4 linked regions of the Xenopus tropicalis genome follow. The protein of the gene in region 3 binds, or shares a complex with, the protein of the main gene of each other region. Links are inferred from orthologs where the notes say so. Each region holds a gene or a part of one and is shown on either strand. Other genes may lie near its edges.

The links. The genes of interacting proteins can lie anywhere in the genome.
Region 1: arid1a (region 3) and dpf1 share a complex: the UniProt entries of both Homo sapiens proteins name them as parts of the neuron-specific chromatin remodeling complex. The link is inferred for Xenopus tropicalis from reciprocal best matches to the Homo sapiens genes ARID1A and DPF1.
Region 2: arid1a (region 3) and smarcc2 share a complex: the UniProt entries of both Homo sapiens proteins name them as parts of the neuron-specific chromatin remodeling complex. The link is inferred for Xenopus tropicalis from reciprocal best matches to the Homo sapiens genes ARID1A and SMARCC2.
Region 4: arid1a (region 3) and dpf3 share a complex: the UniProt entries of both Homo sapiens proteins name them as parts of the neuron-specific chromatin remodeling complex. The link is inferred for Xenopus tropicalis from reciprocal best matches to the Homo sapiens genes ARID1A and DPF3.

Annotation. Positions count from the first base shown.
Region 1 is NC_030684.2:77,398,578-77,403,896, forward strand, and holds the start of dpf1 (zinc finger protein neuro-d4), read left to right. Parts: upstream 1-1,680; coding exon 1,681-1,712; intron 1,713-5,319. UniProt on the Homo sapiens protein: May have an important role in developing neurons by participating in regulation of cell survival, possibly as a neurospecific transcription factor. Belongs to the neuron-specific chromatin remodeling complex (nBAF complex).
Region 2 is NC_030678.2:137,466,321-137,471,800, forward strand, and holds the start of smarcc2 (SWI/SNF complex subunit SMARCC2), read left to right. Parts: upstream 1-1,841; 5' UTR 1,842-2,437; coding exon 2,438-2,548; intron 2,549-5,480. UniProt on the Homo sapiens protein: Involved in transcriptional activation and repression of select genes by chromatin remodeling (alteration of DNA-nucleosome topology).
Region 3 is NC_030678.2:77,722,760-77,727,388, reverse strand, and holds the end of arid1a (AT-rich interactive domain-containing protein 1A), read right to left. Parts: intron 4,397-4,629; coding exon 2,732-4,396; 3' UTR 1,382-2,731; downstream 1-1,381. UniProt on the Homo sapiens protein: Involved in transcriptional activation and repression of select genes by chromatin remodeling (alteration of DNA-nucleosome topology).
Region 4 is NC_030684.2:106,340,282-106,345,684, forward strand, and holds the start of dpf3 (zinc finger protein DPF3), read left to right. Parts: upstream 1-1,764; coding exon 1,765-1,796; intron 1,797-5,403. UniProt on the Homo sapiens protein: Belongs to the neuron-specific chromatin remodeling complex (nBAF complex).

The DNA of each region.
Region 1 (5,319 bases), on a different chromosome or scaffold from region 3:
ATTCACTGTAAGATCAACTCATTTGGCGAGGTCGCCAAGTGAGCAGATCTTCTCCCGATATGCCCATCTACGGGTGGGCGATATAGGGTTAATTCAATCAAATCAGAACGGCTGGCATAGGCGCCATCGGATGGGGGACCGCATCATCGAGCCTATACGGTCCCCCATTTGACGGAAAAATCAAACCTGCCCAATCGAGATCTGCCCAATTCCAGTTTTCTGTTGGGGAGGCCTGTCGGTGGTGCCCATAGACGGGCAGATAAGCTGCCTAATCGGTCACCTTTACATAGAGCGATTTGCATAAACTGAAAGTGACCATGTACTATGGCCAAGGCCCTGTTCTTTTCTGGCTCTCTAATCTCTTTGGCAAAGGAAAAAAAACATCTGGGTCATAACGCAACATTCCTCACCAGCTCTGACATAAATTGCCTGTACAGGAAATATAAAAGGATCGACTGCACACTAAAGATCACTGAAAATTTTAAGGGCAGCAAAGTGGCGCAATGGTTAGCTCTTTTGACTTTGGGGTCCTAGATTCAGTACCTAGAACTCAAATTGACCACAGAGGGCATAATTGTTATAGGTACTTAGAGCTTTATGCTACACTTGGGAAGGGACTGGTGTGAATGATATATAATCTTTGCCAGGCGCATAAGAATGTGTTAGCACTATACAAAGAATAACAATAATTATAATGTGGCAGTGTGAAGGGGGGCTTATTATATGAGGAATATAAAAGAAGCAGCTGAATACAGGTGCTTGACATAGTACTAAAGTACTCACTTTATGTGGAGTTTACAAGAAAGTGGAGCGCACACCATATCTGTTTGGCAAGGCCACGGAAATGGGGACCTGCTGCATGATCTGTGCCAGCAATGGGGACTATGGGAGCCCTGCTGATGAAGGACACACTTTTCCCTTACCCTTCCATGGTGACTGGTTCTCCTTTCTTTCCTGCAGGTCCCTGAATTGCAGTGGGCACACTATCTTCCTCAAGGCTCCAATCTTCCCTGCAGCGTACTTGTATCTTATTACTGGACCTGCAATCAAACAAATTTAGGATATAACTGATATTAACAACTTCAGTGTTTTCCTTTATCAGTTTTAAGTCCATTCATCCCCTCCCAATTCTCTCTCCACCGCCTGATCTCTATTATTCTGCTCTCCCCTCACCTTCTCCCCCCCTTCCCCCCAACCCACTTGCTGCATTTTTTTCTGCTGGCTTGTTAACAAAAGGCCCTTATGGGGCCTCACCAGCAATGACTAGGCTCGTCCTATTTTTATCTCAGTTTTCCTCACAACCTGACTGCCTCTCCCACCTAACTCATAAACTTGCCTGTCTCTCCCTTTTTGACAATCCCTTCCCGCGCCCCCCATCCAACACACAAAGTCTCCCCTTCCCATTGCCCCCAGCTCCCCCTCCTCCCTTTACAGTACCTTAACCTTCTCCACCAATCATTTTCTTCTTCAGCCTCCCAGACTTGTCCCTCGCAATGAACTCTGGGCAACGTAGTGCCATTTTCAATTCATATTCATACTGGCGCGGCTCTCAAAACTACAACTCCCAGTCTTACCCTCAACACGGCCTTTGATTGGCCATTGCGTGCAGAATGAATGAAATTGTACAGTATTGTGATATTAGAGGGGCTGCAGTGTTCCTGCCTAATACCCAGCTGCACCATGAACACAGCCCTCCACAACCCCTTAAAATCGTGAGTATACTGGACTTAAAGATAGTTACAGCTGTGTATACTGCATTTACACTGTCTGAGACTGTATATCTTTCAGATGTATACATGTGTGTTTAGCATTATTACAACATGGACATATCTACATGAATACTATGCATGAAAGAGTGTGTCTGCCTGCCAATTTGTGTATTATAGTGTGTGTGTGTATGTAATACATTTATTTGAGATTATATATATATCTATATATATATAGATATATGTGTGTGTGTGTGTTTGTTCTGTACATTTGCATGTAGATTGTTATATATATTAACTCTTGTGGGTGCTATATATATATTAAATGTCAAAAAGTGGAATCAACCATCTATTCTGCACGTATACTATGCATTATAGAATTTCACAGTGAGGTCACATCCAGCTGCTTTTAGAGGAGGGTCTTACATCTGGATTAGACTGTATCCTTAGGGTATGTCTGAGGTCTAGACTGCGACTGCGATCGTTTGCCTATTATCTATCCATGTATTTAGCTACCTATTCATCCATCTGTCTTTGCCTATCGTTCCTTTGGGAAAGGGAATTTATTTGTGATTACCCATAGTTCACTTTTCTACAGCATTTTCATATAAAATGTACAGCAGTGTTTTGCTGATTTTAATAGTATTTGGTTGCACCTGAGTAATATGAATTTTGAAAGCTAAATTTAGGGTATTGTCTTAAAAATAAAATCCCTGTAACTTATGTTAACACTATTAATGCATTTTATGCATAATATTTATTCAAAAATATGTAATATGCTTAAATATGTGTTTTAAGCCATACATAGCACCATGCAAGCAGAGCAAGTGAGCTGAGTGCCTGGGAACCTTCTGTCCTTAATTCCTAGTGCACATCTGGGCAGACTGTATGCACGTGATAAAGTAGCCATTAACCCAGTCAGTGCCTGAAGTAATCAGACTGTAATAATAAGCAAATAATGGATACTGCATCACTCTGCATACTGTTTGACACTAAATAATTATTTGTAGTTTTGCAGCCATGAGCATATTTAAAGCTGCAGAAGATTATAGAAGAACTGCATTTTGTCAGATATGAGTAAAATATGGGTTACTGCTGTCACCTAAAATCCTATATTTCTCCCAGTGGTTAAGCTGGGGACATTTCACTTTAACTCATTCAGCTCTGACTGAATACAACTGTGAGAGGCAGTTCTCGTTCTTTCTGGTACTGTGTGCAGTTATCAGTTTAACCTAATTTGATTTGACACATGCACTGCAAAATATAGTATGACTGCTCTCTGTAAAATGCATTATATGCATGCTTTTTATCAAAAATATTTGCAGATTGTGACTGTAGCTTTGTAAGCAAATTGGCAAGGCTTCTCTCTCAAGCAATGCACTGGACATGAAGACTTGATAAGGAGAAAGCCTTTATTGAGTGAAAATCTAATGTTACAGATTATCTTATTGGTAAATTAAATTTTTGGTAAATTAAAATACAGTTACTGTTACTAATCTTGCTTTCACAAGGACTTACATATATGGCGCTGTTGTATTAGGCTGTATGCCACACTCACATATATTATAAGATCCGTGTATACCTGCTTTAATTTGACAATTCTAATTTCTTTAGTATATTTGTATATTAAGGAGACATTGTTTTAATCATTTTTTAAAGAATAATAAGTTTTATCACTTATATTAGTAAGTAAAACAAAGGAAATTTAATTTATTAGAGGCACTGTGTCCAAAAGTTACTGCTTGGTAAATTTAAGCTAGAGTTTAAATCATTTTTAGGATAATTTGGCCACCAGAGGACATGGTTTCAGTGGACTCTGTGGTTCATATGTAACTGGTTGCATTGGTGAGAAACATTAAGGCAGCTTTTACTGCCTTATACAAATAAACATAATGATGCGCAGATAAATAAGGCCATGGTAAATACCTTATATGAATTTATAGAAATATAAATTGAATATAGGCCCTTTTACACTACACTAGAACTTAGTAAAGCACAAATTATGCAGTGTAAGTCCCTGTGTGTATATATATATATATATATATATATATATATATATATATATATATATATATACAGAGATCTGCATGTGCACCCAAGCAACCCTGATATGTTTTTTCTTTATGTGTCCTAACATCATTTCTGTCATATTGTTGATATTTAGGTACTATATATACTTTAATATATATTTAATATGTACTATATATATACTTTAATAATGAATGCTCCTTATATATATTTGTTGTGTGCTCAGCCTGGTGTAGTAAAGGGGCAGTATTATGGCAGAAAATAATTGAACGTGCATTATATTTTGACTGTTATATTGGTACACACTTGCCTATCCACTCAAGCTATCATTCCTGATCTTATAAAGTTGCCATTGAAACCAGCATTGCCAGTTTCCAAGCTGTCTGGGTCCTGTCTGTGTCTCAGCTCCAATTATATGTGTGCAGACATCTCATGACAGTTCTGCCTGACTGGGTGAACCCAGCCTGTTACATATTCATATCTGTGGGGAATTCATATATATTGTATCTGTGTGCATAATAAGCATATATGCTCCCATGTATCCATAAATGTACATTTTCTGTATACATGCACATGTATTGCTAAGAAAATACCTCTTCATAATAGATTGTTATACAGTACTATAAAATAATTATGTCATGCTTTGTGAATATTAATGATGACCACTGCAGAACTGAAGACTTACCTACTGTAAGATATAACTAGAAAAATATCCTATCTGAACAAGGCAATGATACATTTTGGAAAAAAATTAGAAGTATATTTAGAAGTGACATTTGCATGCAACAAGACTCCAGCCACTATAAACTACATTGTCCAAAATGCAGCAAGCCAGTGGCTAACAGTCACATGCAATGTCCCATTGCTTTCTGGGAAAAATGCACAGTCCAGAGCAGGCTCTAATTTAATATTTAGTAATGGACCAGGACACCGATAGTACAAATCCAATATGGAAGCAGAATTTTTAATCTAATATGGAATGAAATTCAAGATTGGACTATAAAATAAAAATATACATTATTTAGCACCAACTTAGCATTTAAAGTGAATTATATACTAACCTGTGTTTTTAATTTTTTGATATAGAATGGAATAGTAGGGAGCATTTTTCTTTTCAGTGCATCAGAGATGTCTGTATCTGTGCTATTAACTCTTATTTTCTCTTTCCTCGTTGTCTAATAATCTCCTCCTATTTTATGATGACTGACAGTGCAAGCAGCACTGTAAGAACCTCATCATATAAAGTAGAAGGGGTTATAGTCTTGATTGGCTGACCTTTAGGACTACAGCATTTTGTCCCCTCCCAATTTCTTTCCCAAGTTGGTTGTTGGTCATTTATATATTTAGGTAAATTAATATGTAAATCACATGTCAACATGAACACTTGGCTGCAATGCTGCCCAGTCTTTGCAAAAGTGTGATATCAATAAGTGGATGTAGAATTTTTGCTGTATTTTTCATGTCTTTGTCTGGAAGCCCACCACCTCCTGCAGTAACTGATAGAGCAGCAGTCTCTTGTTTTTCACAGGAGCAAGTAATTGCTGATAGTTTACCTAAACACTTTTGGCTCAGCTCATCTAATTCT
Region 2 (5,480 bases), about 60 Mb from region 3:
ACACTATCTGTACTACTTTACTGTAACTATCACACTATCTGTACTACTGTAACTATCACACTATCTGTACTACTGTAACTATCACACTATCTGTACTACTGTAACTATCACACTATCTGTACTACTGTAACTATCACACTATCTGTACTACTGTAACTATCACACTATCTGTACTACTGTAAACTATCACACTATCTGTACTACTGTAACTATCACACTATCTGTACTACTGTAACTATCACACTATCTGTACTACTGTAACTATCACACTATCTGTACTACTGTAACTACACACTATCTGTACTACTGTAACTATACTACTGTACTACACTACTATCTGTACTACTGTAACTATCACACTACTCTACTACTAACTATCACACTACACTACTGTAACTATCACACTATCTGTACTACTGTAACTATCACACTATCTGTACTACTGTAACTATCACACTATCTGTACTACTGTACTGTACTACTGTAACTATCACACTATCTGTACTACTGTAACTATCACACTATCTGTACTACTGTAACTATCACACTATACTACTGTACTACTGTAACACACTATCTGTACTACTGTAACTATCACACTATCTGTACTACTGTACTATATCTGTACTACTGTACTGTACTACTGTAACTATCACACTATCTGTACTACTGTAACTATCACACTATCTGTACTACTGTAACTATCACACTATCTGTACTACTGTAACTATCACACTACTACTGTACTACTGTACTACTGTAACTATCACACTATCTGTACTACTGTAACTATCACACTATCTGTACTACTGTACTACTGTAACTATCACACTATACTGTACTACTGTAACTATACTACTACTGTACTACTGTAACTATCACACTATCTGTACTACTGTACTACTGTACTACTGTAACTATCACACTATCTGTACTACTGTAACTATCACACTATCTGTACTACTGTACTACTAACTACTGTACTGTACTACTGTAACTATCACACTATCTGTACTACTGTACTACTGTAACTATCACACTATCTGTACTACTGTACTGTACTACTGTAACTATCACACTATCTGTACTACTGTACTGTACTACTGTAACTATCACACTATCTGTACTACTGTAACTATCACACTATCTGTACTACTGTAACTATCACACTATCTGTACTACTGTAACTATCACACTATCTGTACTACTGTAACTATCACACTATCTGTACTACTGTAACTATCACAGCCCCCTTCCTGCCCAGTACCCAACACAGGTGCAACCTGGCCAATAAAATTTATACTTGATGCCAATTATTAATAGGGCAGAAAAATACAAATATAAAAAGGCCAATTGCACCCAGCCCTAGTGTAACCTTAGCAGAACCCATACAATTTTTTTTTCAATAAATGAAAATGTTTTACAATAAATGAATGAGTTCAGGTCTGCAGCACCCATGGATCTTTGGTGGTGTGTGCCTTGCCCAAGTTTTGTCCAGTATCCCTCTGCCGATCCGCCATTGTTTTTAATGGGCAACTTGTTAGTCTCCCCATTCTGTCACACTTTGGAGGGACGCTGAGAATTGTCAAGTCGCCCAAACACAGTACGTACTAAAGTACCTCTGTAGCATTTACAGTAAGAAAGTGTACACCAGGAGGAGAGCTACAGTAAAGTCAGTAAGCCTGGGGAATATTCTGTTTGTGAGGAAAAAAAATAGAATTTACAAGCTAAACGAATCCGTCACGGACAGGATTCGAACCTGTGCGGGGAAACCCCATTGGATTTCGAGTCCAACGCCTTAACCACTCGGCCACCGTGACTGTCGGCCAACCAACTCGCTCAGCCTACTGACACAGAGCGTGAGCCGGCGTGCGTTTTTCCCCAACATGGCGGCCGTACGCTCCCTGGCAAAGCTATGCTTGGAGGGGCTGCAATGCACGGAGGGGCTGGGAAAGGACACCGAATGGAAGGGGGCAATTTGAGTTGTGGAAGACTGGGCGCTGCTGTGTGGGCGCTGCTGTGTGGGCGCTGCTGCAGCGAGTGTTTCCCAGCGGCACTAGGGCAGGAACATTCAGCCTGTGAGTCCGGCCGTAGAAAGAACTTACTGACTCTTATATTCGAGTCACAGTGTTCGCACCTGCTGGAAGTGCCCGGCGCTGGCACCGCGGTATAAGTCTTATGCGTACCGCCGTGATCGCCACTTCTTCTTTCCAATCAATAATATCACGTCAGGCTTTTTGGCGCTATATTGCCCATTTTAGCGGCACAGTGGCTTTTAGCCGCAGTATCCTGCCCAAGGCCGCCGTGGTATGCTGGGACATGTAGTTCGCTAACAACTGGAGGGCCACTGGTTGCCGATGTCCCGCTGCACTTATCGTTCCGGCCGCTAGGTGCCGCTCAGCTCTCGGGTTGGAGGTGCCGGGCAAGCTGGCAGAAGATGGCGGTGCGGAAGAAGGACGGCGGCCCGAATGTGAAATTTTACGAGGCATCCGACACTGTCGCACAGTTCGACAACGTGCGGCTATGGCTGGGCAAGAATTATAAGAAGGTACTGCAATGAGGGACTTCGAGTCCTACGGCAAACGAAGTCCCCTAGTGTGTTTCCCTGAGCTGCACACCTAGAACAAAGAGACAGGCCCGAGTACGGGGGTGTTAGGGCTGGTGGGCACTTAGCAGCAGGAGGCCCCGCAATGGCCCCTACTCTGCCTGTCACCTAGGTTACTGACAATGATGCTTCCTCTAGAGAAGGGAGCCTGTTATATTAAATGGTTATATGGGGCCTTCACCCGCCCAGTAAGCTGAATAATAGAACAAAATGAGCCCTGAATGTGTCCCTGTGCGCTACAGAATCCGGACATGTCATGCCGTGCCATCTTTTATTTCTATAGCAACAGATGGAAGATGTACAGTAATGCCCTATTGTAGGAAGAATAAATAACTCTGCATCCCACCAATTGTCAGCTCAGTGGGCAAGGCATAGTACTAGCCTTTCATGTCAGTACCTTGCTCCTCAGTGGCAACTCCCGGCCCCACCATTATCCTCTCCTGTCATGTCAGATCTTGTTACCCTTGCCATTCACAGTCATTGTGCCAAACAGTAAAGGGGTGAACATTTCCCCAGTATTATCCCTTTAGTAAAGCCCTGGGTTGGGTTCTGTTATATTCTTTTGCTTTTGGTCCATGGGGAAGCACAGGGCTACATCCCTGCATTGCTGGTTCCTAACTGCCAGCATCTGTTTCACATACACGGATCCTCTGCACATGCTCAGTGGCACAACTCTTCACCCTTTTGGGAGGTTCTAAGTTAGGGACACCCCACACACGCAGGGTTTTGGGCTAGAACATATGTATGGTGCTACAGGTCGGTGGAGAGAGTGGTTCAATCATTCATGTTACCTGACTAATACCAAATGCTCTATTTGTGTTTCCTACTCATCTAGGGAAAAATAAATATTATATTGATACTTTTTAGCTGATTGCATTGTTTGCTTTCATTTAATGTGTTGACAACACATAAATAGAAGCAAATAGCACAACAAGCGTAATAACTTAAAGAACTGACATAACTGTGCCTGATACTTTAGCAGCTGGAGTGTTGTTGCAGAAAGTGCCCCTTCCATAGACAGCACGGAATGAGAGGAATGCATATATACACATATATATATATAGAACTGTTTACAAGCTGCATGTCCTGTAGCGTGAGCATGTTAGTAGCACGTGCTAGTGTGGTTATCCTCAGACTTACCTTTGCCCTAGTGCTGATGTGTGAGTCACCTGAGTGCATTCCCTTTCATATACTTCTTAATACCTGCTCTACAGTTGTACTGCTATTTTGTTTAGAATAACTCTGTAGCCAAATCTGCGCCAGTAGCTAACATGGCAGGGTAATTTGTTTTGTTAATTGTTGGATGAAGAACAAAATATAGACCTGTCTAAAAATATACATATCTATGTAAAAGAAGAGGTTACATGGAATATCCCTTTGTTTATAAGGGTCTTTAACGTCCCATAACACTAGAAAATGTATGTATGTATATCTTTATTTATAAAACGCTACTTATATATGCAGCGCTGTACAGTAGAATACATTAATATAAACAGGGGGTATTAAAATAGATAAATACAAAGTATTACAATAAGCACAATTAAATAAAAGATACAATTGTAATAAGATAAGAGTCAAAGACACAAGAGGATGGAGGATATCTGTGGATACTAGCAAATGCCGGAGGGGCTGCTGTAAGATGCCATAGGGAGTTGCTATCTATTGGGCTGGCAGGGAGGCTGTTTGGGCCTCTGTGTACTTGAAATACCAGGGCCTATTTTGAATTCTAGGTCAGGCCTGTAGCCATGCACCTGTTTCTGGCATTTTAGGCTAATGCCAGACGAGGCGTAGAGAGGATATTTTCAGCAAACGGAAAATCGCTTGCCGAAAATATCGCCCTACGCTTCCTACATGTGCCTGCACCCGAATGAATGGAATACGCTTGGGTGCAGGCACATGTAGCCGAAATACGCATAAAAACGGGAGACTTTCAAACTCTCGCGTTTTTATGTGTATTTTTGCTACATGTGCCTGCACCCAAGCGTATTCCATTCATTCGTGTGCAGGCACAAGTAGGAGGCGTAGGGCGGAATTTTCGGCAAGCGTTTTTCCGCTTGCCGAAAATATCCGCCCTACACCTCGTCTGACATCAGCCTTAAGGTGACAATACATTGGGAGATGTAAGGTGCCGATTTATCTTCTTCAGGCTGAGTCTGCAGCTTATCTATCCATGTATTGGGCCCTCCAACGGGCCTGCCTTACTGAGATCTATCCAAAAAAAGTCCAGTCTGGGCATGGATGATGCAGTCCTCGCCCCAAAATCCTGCTTTTACTGTAATTGTGATCCAATAGTTTTGCCCTTGGGCCAAAGATCAGGTCAGCTCGGTATTGCCTACCTCAGGGTGGGCATATCAGGAAAAGTTTGTGGAACTTTATTCCAAGAAGATTAATATGAATCTGGTTCTTTTTTTTGCTTTAAATCAGCCTGTACTTATTTGGAAAGGCTTTCCTCTACACATTGGAATATTATGATAGGATTTACAGTTTGCAAATGATACATTAGTTGGTCTTATACAAGGCAAAGATGCAAAATCCTATCGTCAATTTGTGACATATTAGGTATCAAAGAGACCATAATCTAGTCATAAACAGAGTCAACAGTAAAAATTAACCATGGACATCAAATGGAACCCTAACAAGCAGTACAACCTACAAAACAGAGGTACTGAGATGAAGCAGCTTGGCATCAGATTCCAAACTAACTGAACAGTTATGTCCCATGTGGCCCCCCCTCAAGTCACTGATTGGCTACTGAATGCTAACAGCTTAGAGAGCTGTAAAGCAGGAAGTAGAGTTCTGGCCATTATGTTAGACATCTGCTCACTCCAGCCTTTATAGATTTCATTTTTGCTTAAGTAACATATTACAAATATTT
Region 3 (4,629 bases):
CTGAAGGTATGCCTGCAGCTTGGGATTAACTCTTTATTAGCCTTTCATTCTCCTTTAAAGAATAAGTAAAACATTTTTTTTACTTTTCTACTGGGCAGGCATGCTGTCTGTTCCAATGGAAACTAATCAGGCATGCACAGTAGACACCTCTTCGACCATCAGACTTCACAGTCAAGGAGATTGGCTAAGAAAATAGCTTCAAGCTGGACTAGGAAGTAGCAGGGAAATCTGAAGTTTTGCTTCTTGTGATACATATGCATGAGAACGGGTGCAGGGAGAAATTCACGTTAATCTGGGTGCTTTATAGAGTAATTTTAGGGGCTTCATGACTTATCCTTTAATGAATATGAAGGAATGATCAAGTCAAATATAGGCAAACATTTGCCAGTTTTACAAAAAATGTGTATGCGCAGGATCCAGTCATATTTGTGTCAGCAGCATTTTTGGATTTTACTTAAGGGTTCCCTACCTGTAGTCTGCAGAGAGCTTTTCAATGACTTATTATTTATTATAATGTACCAAAACCATTGCATTCTAAATAGCTTATCTGTGCAACGTGGAACCTAGACTTTACTACAAAAGGAACTTATATGTAAATGGTATTAGACCATCTAAATCACAATCCAAGTCTGGCTGTGACACAGCCTTTAGTGCAACAGTGCATTTAGATGTACCGATCAAACCCTTTATACCATATTGAAAGTTTTCTGTTGAGATCTTTCATGACCACTGATTTAGTTTATCTGCACAAAAATCATATGCGGTCATCTTTTCAGATAAGGGTGAAGACACACAGAGCTACTTGCAGCAGCTTCAAGAATAGACAATGCCACGAAAATGTGTATGATAGGGTATTTTCTGGCATTTAGCAGCCTGACAAGTAACTGCTACTAAGTAGCTCTGTGTATGTATCTTTCAGCCATGATTTTGCCCTACAATAGCACCTAACCTAAGCTGTTCTTTATAGGGCCTAAAACAAGCAAACAGTTTCCTCCTTGAAGCTGAATTATCAAATAGGCATAGCAAAATCATGGGGGAAAATACAAGGTAAAATAAACTAAGGATTCTAAGGATTCCATTGTTCATTTATGAACAACGGACAAATCTGAACCTGGGCTGTAACCCATAACAACCAATCAAATGTTTGCTTTCATTGTGCTACCTGAAGCTGGCTGAAGAATGCTAATCACTGACTGGTTGATAGGTTATTGCCCAGTGTTGATAAAATGACCCCCCCAAAAAACATGCTCATGCAAACAGGTGGTGCCACAGCTATTTTGAGAGTGTATTTTGCTGTAGATTGCACAAAATTTTAAGTAAATGCATGGAGATGTTATGGTGCTGCAATGATAGCCTCCATTTAAATAATGCTCCTCACAACTCTGTTAACAAGATTTAATGTACATTTATTCTTAACACGGGAACATAGAGTATAAAGATTTCATACTGAATAAATGATATATTCATTAAGCAAAAATAAAAATAAAACAAAAAAGGAATAGGCTGAAATTTACATTTTTTTGGAGCTACAAATATGCAGAAATTGCTGGAAAAAACTTCTCAAATTGTCTGGGGAACTGAAACAAAACAAAAAACAATAACAAAAAAAAACTCACACCTTGATTGGTAATGGGAAAAAAACCTTCTAAAAGTTGATAGGATTGCTGGATATACAAAGGGTGAGGAAGTGAAGTGTTCAGGGAACTCCTGCTCTGTAGGCAAACCGTCCACACAGGTCCCTCCCTCCATATACCTGGAGAAAGGGAGTTTTTAATAGGCTTAACCGTATCCCCCATTTTCTACAGATGAATGGGGAAGAGCTTGTGTGTTTGGGAAGGAAGTGGGTTGAGGTTGGATACAAGAGGTGTGTCTTTAATGTACATCATCATATATATACAGACATCGCAGCTTGCAACCTACAAGCTAAAGGTTAAAACCAGTTATAAGAGGCGATCTCCGATTATTACAATCTAAGTTTAAGAGGTAAGGGTGTTGCTTCACATGAAACTTTGGGGGAAAAGCGACTTTTCTGTGTCTCTCTCTCCTCCGGAAAACTAAAAGCGCTCCATGTCGCTCTCTGTTTAAAAACCTACATCATAAGTCTCTGAGGTTGTGGGGTTTTTCCAGCTCCGGTCGGATTCTGCAGGGTTTCTCAGCACAGTTAAAAAGGTAAAGTCTTAAGGTTTTTTTTGTATTTTTTTGTATTTTTTTTTTTAAGTTTTCTTCTCTTTAAAGGTTAAGGGCACACAATTTCTAGTCTAAAGATCGCAAGTGAGGAAAGAAATCCTGCAAATTATTTTATGGTGACTTGGGGGGAGGGGGGCATTCTCCCTATTCGATGGTTCAGAAGTCTGTATCTCCTTAAAAAGATGAGCCAACCCCTTGGCTAAAGGCTTAGGAGAAGGGGCAGTAAAGAGGAGGGGGAGAAGTACAGTGGAGCCCCTTCCTCCCCCAGTAAAAAAAAAAAAAAAAAAAAAATAGATATATATATAATAATTCACTGAAATACAGTAGCTTTGGTTAACACCAAAACACACAGAGAGGAGGAAAGAGGGCGGGGAAAGGTCCACAATGGTGGCCAATTCTCCTCTCTGGGGCAGACAGTGGATTGAGACGTAGTTTTTTGCATAAATAAAAAGGTGGGGAGAAGAGAAGGGATGGTGTCAACAGGATTCCGTTCTACGGTGGTGGGAGACTCAAAGTATTCTGGGAAGGTGTCTCCCTGCGGCCGTCATGACTGGCCAATCAAGAAGAGAACATCACAGATTACCTGTGACACGGAGCAGTTCATGAGTGGAGAGACAGAGATGTCCAGCAAGCGAGCCTCATACAAGGTGAATTCTGGGTGGTTCTCCTCAACTTTTGCCAACGCCAGCAGGGCACGTGATGCCCGCCGCATCATGTCTGTGCTGGTAGGCTCAAATGGTGCAGAGGAACCATGCAGGTGGGCAGCCTGACTCTGCTGAAACTGGGTGGCAGCCAGACTGTCCTCTAGAAAGCCAAGCAGGTTTCCAATACTGCCTTTCTGGAGGGCAATTGCCCTTGCTGCTAACGTGTCACCTTGAGCCAGATTGGCTAAAAGCACAACTGCCATTTCCCTGCACACATGGTTTTTTCTGTCACTTAAGAACCTTACCAAGGTCCCATACAACTTCTCCAAGCGACTGAAGGGCGGTGTGGCCAGGATGAGGTCCACGTTGCTGTCCTGGATACTTAACTTGCTAAGGGCTTCAAGCACCAGTCTCTGGGGGGACAGCACCGCATTGGGGCCCAGTGTCACAAAGGGGTCCTGTGCCTCAGCTGAAGGACACACCGCCCAGTGTAAGAGGCCATCCAGAATAGGCAGACATATGCTCTCAGGGTAGGGCGAAAGATCCAGCTGCCCTGAGATGTTTGCAAGCGTAACCAAGGTATTCTCACGCAACATCTCTAGGCAGTCCCACCACCACTCTGCTTTGTTACAGCTTACTCCCTGATCCCTCTCTTCCTCTTTCTCATAAGTGAGTGGTGCTTGCTTGCGTTCTGGATGCTTATGATGGAGAAGCACTAACTTTCCCAGTAGCAGCAACAGCCCAGGGTGTTTGGACATTTCCAAGTCATTGCCTGGCACAAAGGACAAGCTACGCAAGATGTTGGATATGCACACACAACGTCTGGACAGAGCATCCTGCCAATCCTCCAGTGTGCACAATGGGGTTTCATCTTTGCTGCGAGGCTCATCCTCTAATATTTTCATACCATGCCTGTTTCGTGGTGGAGGGCTCCCACCCAGTGAAAATTCACAATCTTCTTCAGTGGTTTCACCAGTCTCCTGTGATAATGAGCTTGGCCGGGCACACAGCACATCATCGATAGTAGGAGTGGTGTCCTCTGCTGCTGGAATTTGCTGCTCCCGGGATCGGCGTTTAACTGGGGGCCGCCTGCGTGGAGGGGGTTCAGGACGTCTTTCAAAATGTGTCTGGATGTGTTCAGTGGTGTCCCCCCCTCCAATTCGCCAGTGCAAGAGGCCACTTTCAAATTCTTGTAAGCGCCCCAACTGATGAGAGCAGTCTAACACAAAGGGATCTTCTTTTGAAACCACTTTTATTGGGAGCCGGTCAAACTTGCTGCTTTGTTGTTGAGTATCCTCGTTACTAGAAAAGGGAGTATTATAGGCCTTTCTCTCCTCTAGACCCTCTTCATCCTCACTTTGGGGGTCACCATCTGTCACAGACTGATGATCATCCCCATCAACCATTTCAGCATCACCTGAGAGAAGGCTTGAAGAATCAGATGGGAAGGGTTGAAGCAATGTCTTTTGAGCATGTTCTCCAACTTCATACTCTCGGAGGATCCCAAAGATTTCAATCAGGCACCGTCTGAAATATTCCACTAACAGCTCTAATAATCCAGGGAGCTATTTATGGGGGGAAAAAATAAGCGTTAAACATTTAAAAATAAAATGTTCATAACATTAAAAAAAACAAACAAAAACTACTTAAACCCAATGGGAAATAGCTTGCCAAAGGAAGAAATAAAGGAGACAGAGGCATTCAGGCAGTGGGTCCAAATCTGCATGAATGTTCCAAAGTAGTCTCTGTGGGGATTGTGAAGTGCAACAAGTCTAAAACAAGAGATATCCCTGGAAGC
Region 4 (5,403 bases), on a different chromosome or scaffold from region 3:
CATGCATCTTCCAGTACACAGCTTATGTTCAAACTGAACATAAAGCCCCTACACTAAAATATGAATGAAGCTGACACGCAGTTTTGGCATCATTTTGCCATGTATTGTTGTATGCTATGAAGTTAAGTAAGACTGTGTACAGCCACACAGTGTACTGTACAATTGCCTTTTTCTTATTGCTTGTCTATGCTTCCACAGCAACCATCAGGGGTTAGAACTGTAGGGGGGCCAGTCATGGCTGGGATTATTTTATACTGTTAAGGAAGACACAGGGGTCCCAAATCTTTGCAGGGATGAGACCCAACCGAGAAAATACATTTCCGATGGTTGTCCTTCATGCAGAGTTACCCAATGGAAACATATACAAGTATTACTGCACCTTAAGTGTAGTAGAGCAAGCTGTTGAAGGAGTCTTGTAACAAGGCCATAGTAACAAGCAGTATTCAAGTGTAACTGTAAGTCAAGGTTTCTAACCTGCAGCCATCCCGATATTGTTAAACTACAACTCTCAATGGATGGTGGTAGTTGTAGTTCAATAACAACGTGGCAGTTGTTCAGCTGCAGCACTGCCCCTAACGTAAGGAGTGAAAGCCACAGGAGACTTCAGGATTGCGTCGGTCGCTACATTGTCTGTGCACGTCGCTAACCGAGCGCTGCGCCGGCTGAGGAAGATTAGATGTGACCAGTTGCATTCCCGTCTGGATACCAGGGATTGCTATGGAGCAGAAGCAGTAATCCCACACAAGGGCTATTAAGTGATTAGCTTCTCTTGCGCTGACTACAAAACTGCAAACTGGATTTACAACCCGAACGCCTTGCGGTTCCCCTCTTGGCATATTGCAAAGGGCAAGTGGTGGAGAAACGACGTTACAGCTTTAAAAGTGCTGTAGGAGAGCCACATTGCTAAGCAACGGGGTGGCTGGGGTTACATGCACTGAGGTCACCTTATTTTGCAGTAACAGCAATAAGTGACCTCCCTGAGCATCATGAAGCCGGTGCACTGACTGCAGGAGATTAGCTGACACTGAGAAATACCAGGGGGCAGAGGTGGGAGGAGGGTGCTTAGCTCATATATCAGCAGTGCCAAAGAGCCCCTATGAGGAAATTAGAGAAGATAAAGCAGATAGGTGGAGGCTGGCTCTGGGCATCCTATTAAATGTCAGGGCACATGCAGGGACTGAGCTTTGATGAAGTGGCAGGAGTCCAGGCTGCACACAGCAAGCCATCAGCTGCCATTTGGCCAGAGCTAGCAGGCAGTGCAACTCAGTGCCAATTTAATTGCTCCCCACCTCCTGAAAAGTGTCCAGACATGGCCTAGACTGCCTTAACTCCTTCCCTTCTGGAACAACTTGCGCAGAAGAAGGCAGTGCATTTACAGCTTGTTACTGAACTACCATTGCCAGGATGTTTGGGTCTTGTTAGGCTTACTGGGAGTCGTAGTTCATTAGCAGCTGTTGAGCCGCCACAGGTTCCAGATCCGTGCCCAGACTTTGCATTGCACCGCTCACTTCTCCAGCAGCAGCAACTAAGGGGTTGTCTCCACCTCCCCTCACTGCTCTCTGTCCGGCCACCCAAGGGAGTGACCTCTGGTTCTTTGACAGCTCCCTAATACCTCGCAGAACACCCCTTCCATGCCACGCCTTCAGCTTCGCGATTGGCTGGCGCGCCGGTAACCCTCATTCCTATTGGCTCGTCCCTCTCCCCCCACCCGCAACGAACCTTCAGAACTCCGAGACAGACAATATTCAGTTACATTGTAGCAAGATGGCGACTGTCATTCACAACCCACTGAAACCGTGAGTAGAAATGGGCAGAATCCGCGTGTTTCCATATGAAAAAAAGGCGCCTTTCTCGGCTGGTGCGGAGCTTGTGTGGAGACAAGTGCGACTCCCGAATGCACCGGGCGCAGCTCCAGGCACTGACTCGCTACCCGGGCACTGGCAGCCTTTATGCCTACTCTCTTTATTCTTTCCCTGCACTTGCTACTGTGGTACGGGCGCCTGACGGGTGTTGCGCTCTGCCTTGTGCGCTGTGGGTACGGCTGGGAATGTGCCAGCTTGAGGCAACTGGGCACTTACTGCGCACCGGGTACCTAACCGAGCGGGGCGTCCCGGGTAGAAGCCAGACCTTTGTGAGAAGCAGCGCAGCGGGTGGCATGTGGGGTGCCAAGCCTGGTACCGTAAGGGTGCTTTTGGGGTGTCACAGGCATGGCCGGGTAATAGAGATTAGAGTTTGGAGAGCCAGCGTGGCAGACAAAGGGCGATTTTGAGGTGATAGCCGTTGCACAGTAATTATGGTATCGGGGAGTCAGGAATGGAAGAGTCTGCGGATTTCGGGGTTCCAGGTACAACAGAGTAAGGATGTGCCTATGATACCTGTTGTATTAGAGCAAGCGTGGTTACTGGGTGCCAGCTATGCCAGAGTAAAGATACTTTGGTTCCCTTGCTTTATCCTAGTGAGGGTGCTATCTGGGTGCCACTTATAGCACAGGAGGCGTGTTTGGCGTGAGTGCCAGTGATGACACGGTTATTTAGCTTTTAGGGTGCAGGTGTAGCAGAGAAATGGTGCTTTTTAGGATGCCTTATAGTAGCATGATGATACCTGTAGGTACAGCAGAGTACTGATGCTTTAAGGGTGGCGTGTATAACAGAGAAATGGTGTTTTAGGGTGTCTTGTGTACAAGAGTAATGATGCTTTTTGGTGGCTGGTACAGCAGGGCAATGATGCTTTTCGCCTGCTTTAGTTGTAGAATAGCAGAGTAATGATGCCTATAGGGTGCAAATATAGTAAAGTAATGATGCGTTTAGGGTGCAGGAATAGCCCAGTAACGATGCAGGTATAGCAGTAACGATGGATTTAGGGTGCAGGTAAAGCAGAAATGTTGGATTTAGGGTGCAGGTATAGCAGAGTAATATGCATTTAGGGTGCAGGTATAGCAGTAACGATGGATTTAAGGTGCAGGTAAAGCAGAAATGTTGGATTTAGGGTGCAGGTATAGCAGAGTAACTATGCATTTAGGGTGCAGGTATAGCAGTAATCATGCATTTAGGGTGCAGTTATAGCAGTAATCATGCATTTAGGGTTCATGTATAGCAGAGTAACGATGCATTTAAAATGCAGTTATAGTAAAGTAATGATGTAGTTAGGGTGCAGGTATAGCAGAGTAACCATGCATTTAGGGTTCAGGTATAGCAGTAATCATGCATTTAGGGTTCAGGTATAGCAGAGTAAGGATGCATTTAAGGTGCAGTTATAGTAAAGTAATGATGTAGTTAGGGTGCAGGTATAGCAGAGTAACGATGGATTTAGGGAGCACATATAGCAGAGTAACGATGCATTTAGGTAGCAGGTATAGTAAAGTAATGATGTAATTAGGGTGCAGGTATAGCAAAGTAATGATGAAATTAGGGTGCAGGTATAGCAGAGTAACGATGGGTTTAGGTAGCAGGTATAGCAAAGTAACGATGGATTTATGTAGCAGGTATAGTAAAGTAACGATGCATTTAGGTAGCAGGTATAGTAAAGTAATGATGTAATTATGGTGCATGTATAGCAGAATAACGATGCATTTAGGGTGCAGGTATAGCAAAGTAACGATGCATTTAGGTAGCAGGTATAGTAAAGTAATGATGTAATTATGGTGCATGTATAGCAGAATAACGATGCATTTAGGGTGCAGGTATAGCAAAGTAACGATGGATTTAGGGTGCAGGTATAGCAAAGTAAAGATGGATTTAGGGTGCAGGTATAGCAAAGTAACGATGGATTTAGGGTGCAGGTATAGCAAAGTAACGATGCATTTAGGGTGCAGGTATAGCAAAGTAACGATGGATTTAGGGTGCAGGTATAGCAAAGTAAAGATGGATTTAGGGTGCAGGTATAGCAAAGTAACGATGGATTTAGGGTGCAGGTATAGCAAAGTAACGATGCATTTAGGGTGCAGGTATAGCAAAGTAACGATGCATTTAGGTAGCAGGTATAGTAAAGTAATGATGTAATTATGGTGCATGTATAGCAGAATAACGATGCATTTAGGGTGCAGGTATAGCAAAGTAACGATGGATTTAGGGTGCAGGTATAGCAAAGTAAAGATGGATTTAGGGTGCAGGTATAGCAAAGTAACGATGGATTTAGGGTGCAGGTATAGCAAAGTAACGATGCATTTAGGGTGCAGGTATAGCAAAGTAACGATGGATTTAGGGTGCAGGTATAGCAAAGTAAAGATGGATTTAGGGTGCAGGTATAGCAAAGTAATGATGGATTTAGGGTGCAGGTATAGAAGTAATGATGCGTTTAGAGTTCAGGTATAGCAAAGTAATGATACGTTAGTAAAGTGCCAGTGTCAGTGCTGTAAGAGGGTTATAGGTGGCAGGGGTTGCTTAATGAAGGGCATAGAGGGCATTTGTCTGGGCTCCCGCATCACAGGTGCTTCTTAAGGAGAAAAGGTAGATTCAACGACTAATAACATATTATCATGTTATCAAATGGCTGTATTGTCAGTAATGACGAGTCTAGTCTAACACACATCTTTCCAACTGTTGCTGAATTGTAATTTCCCGCAGACGGCCGGACAGTGGGGGATGGTGCTGATTAGCAGTGGGCAGAGCTTTGTTCTGTGGTTCAGCTGATGGCAATGAGGGGCGCTACGTATGGGAGTGTGCCCACCGGGAAGGTGATGCCATTGGGTAAATATGGGGGGGCAGTGGGGCACATCTGAGAATCGTGCCAAGGATGCAATATATATTGGCTACTGGAGGCGCTAGTTTATGGGATACCTGCCGGACGCTATTAGCGATCTGATTTAACTGAAGGTATATTTGTGTGTTACATACCAACAAATCACGTCATAGGGGTTATTTTGGATGGGGGTGTGAGGGAGTGCTAGAGAGTCGGACCCAAGCAGATGCTCTCAGGGAACAGAATATGTTATTGTTTCTGCAAGGGCAAGGGTACCTGTTGGCCATATTAATATATTATATGGAAAGTTAGGCAGGAAGGGATTGGCGAGTTATTGGACCGGACTGTGAAAGAGAGAACAAGTGGGAATAACTAGGGGTGCTTTTATATTGAGGTCAGGGGTAGCCAGTGAGATGGAGCGTTTGTTATTAGGCCTCTATTGCCTGAGGTAATCATAGCTGGGTTACCTCAGGCAAGGGGTAGCCAGTGAGATGGGGCATTTGTTATTTATCAGAACAGAGTAAGGGGACCTGCAATTTGCAGTTTAATCTAATCTGTGCATCTGAGGCCATGCAAGGGGTAACCTATCAGAAGGGATATTTCTGATTCAGGATGGCAGAACAGGGATTCCTCTGTGGAATTTATGCAAAGTGGCATTTGTCATCGCAAGTATGTCTGCTGGCTACAGAAGTATGTGTTGCCAACATGATGGAGTTACTACTGATC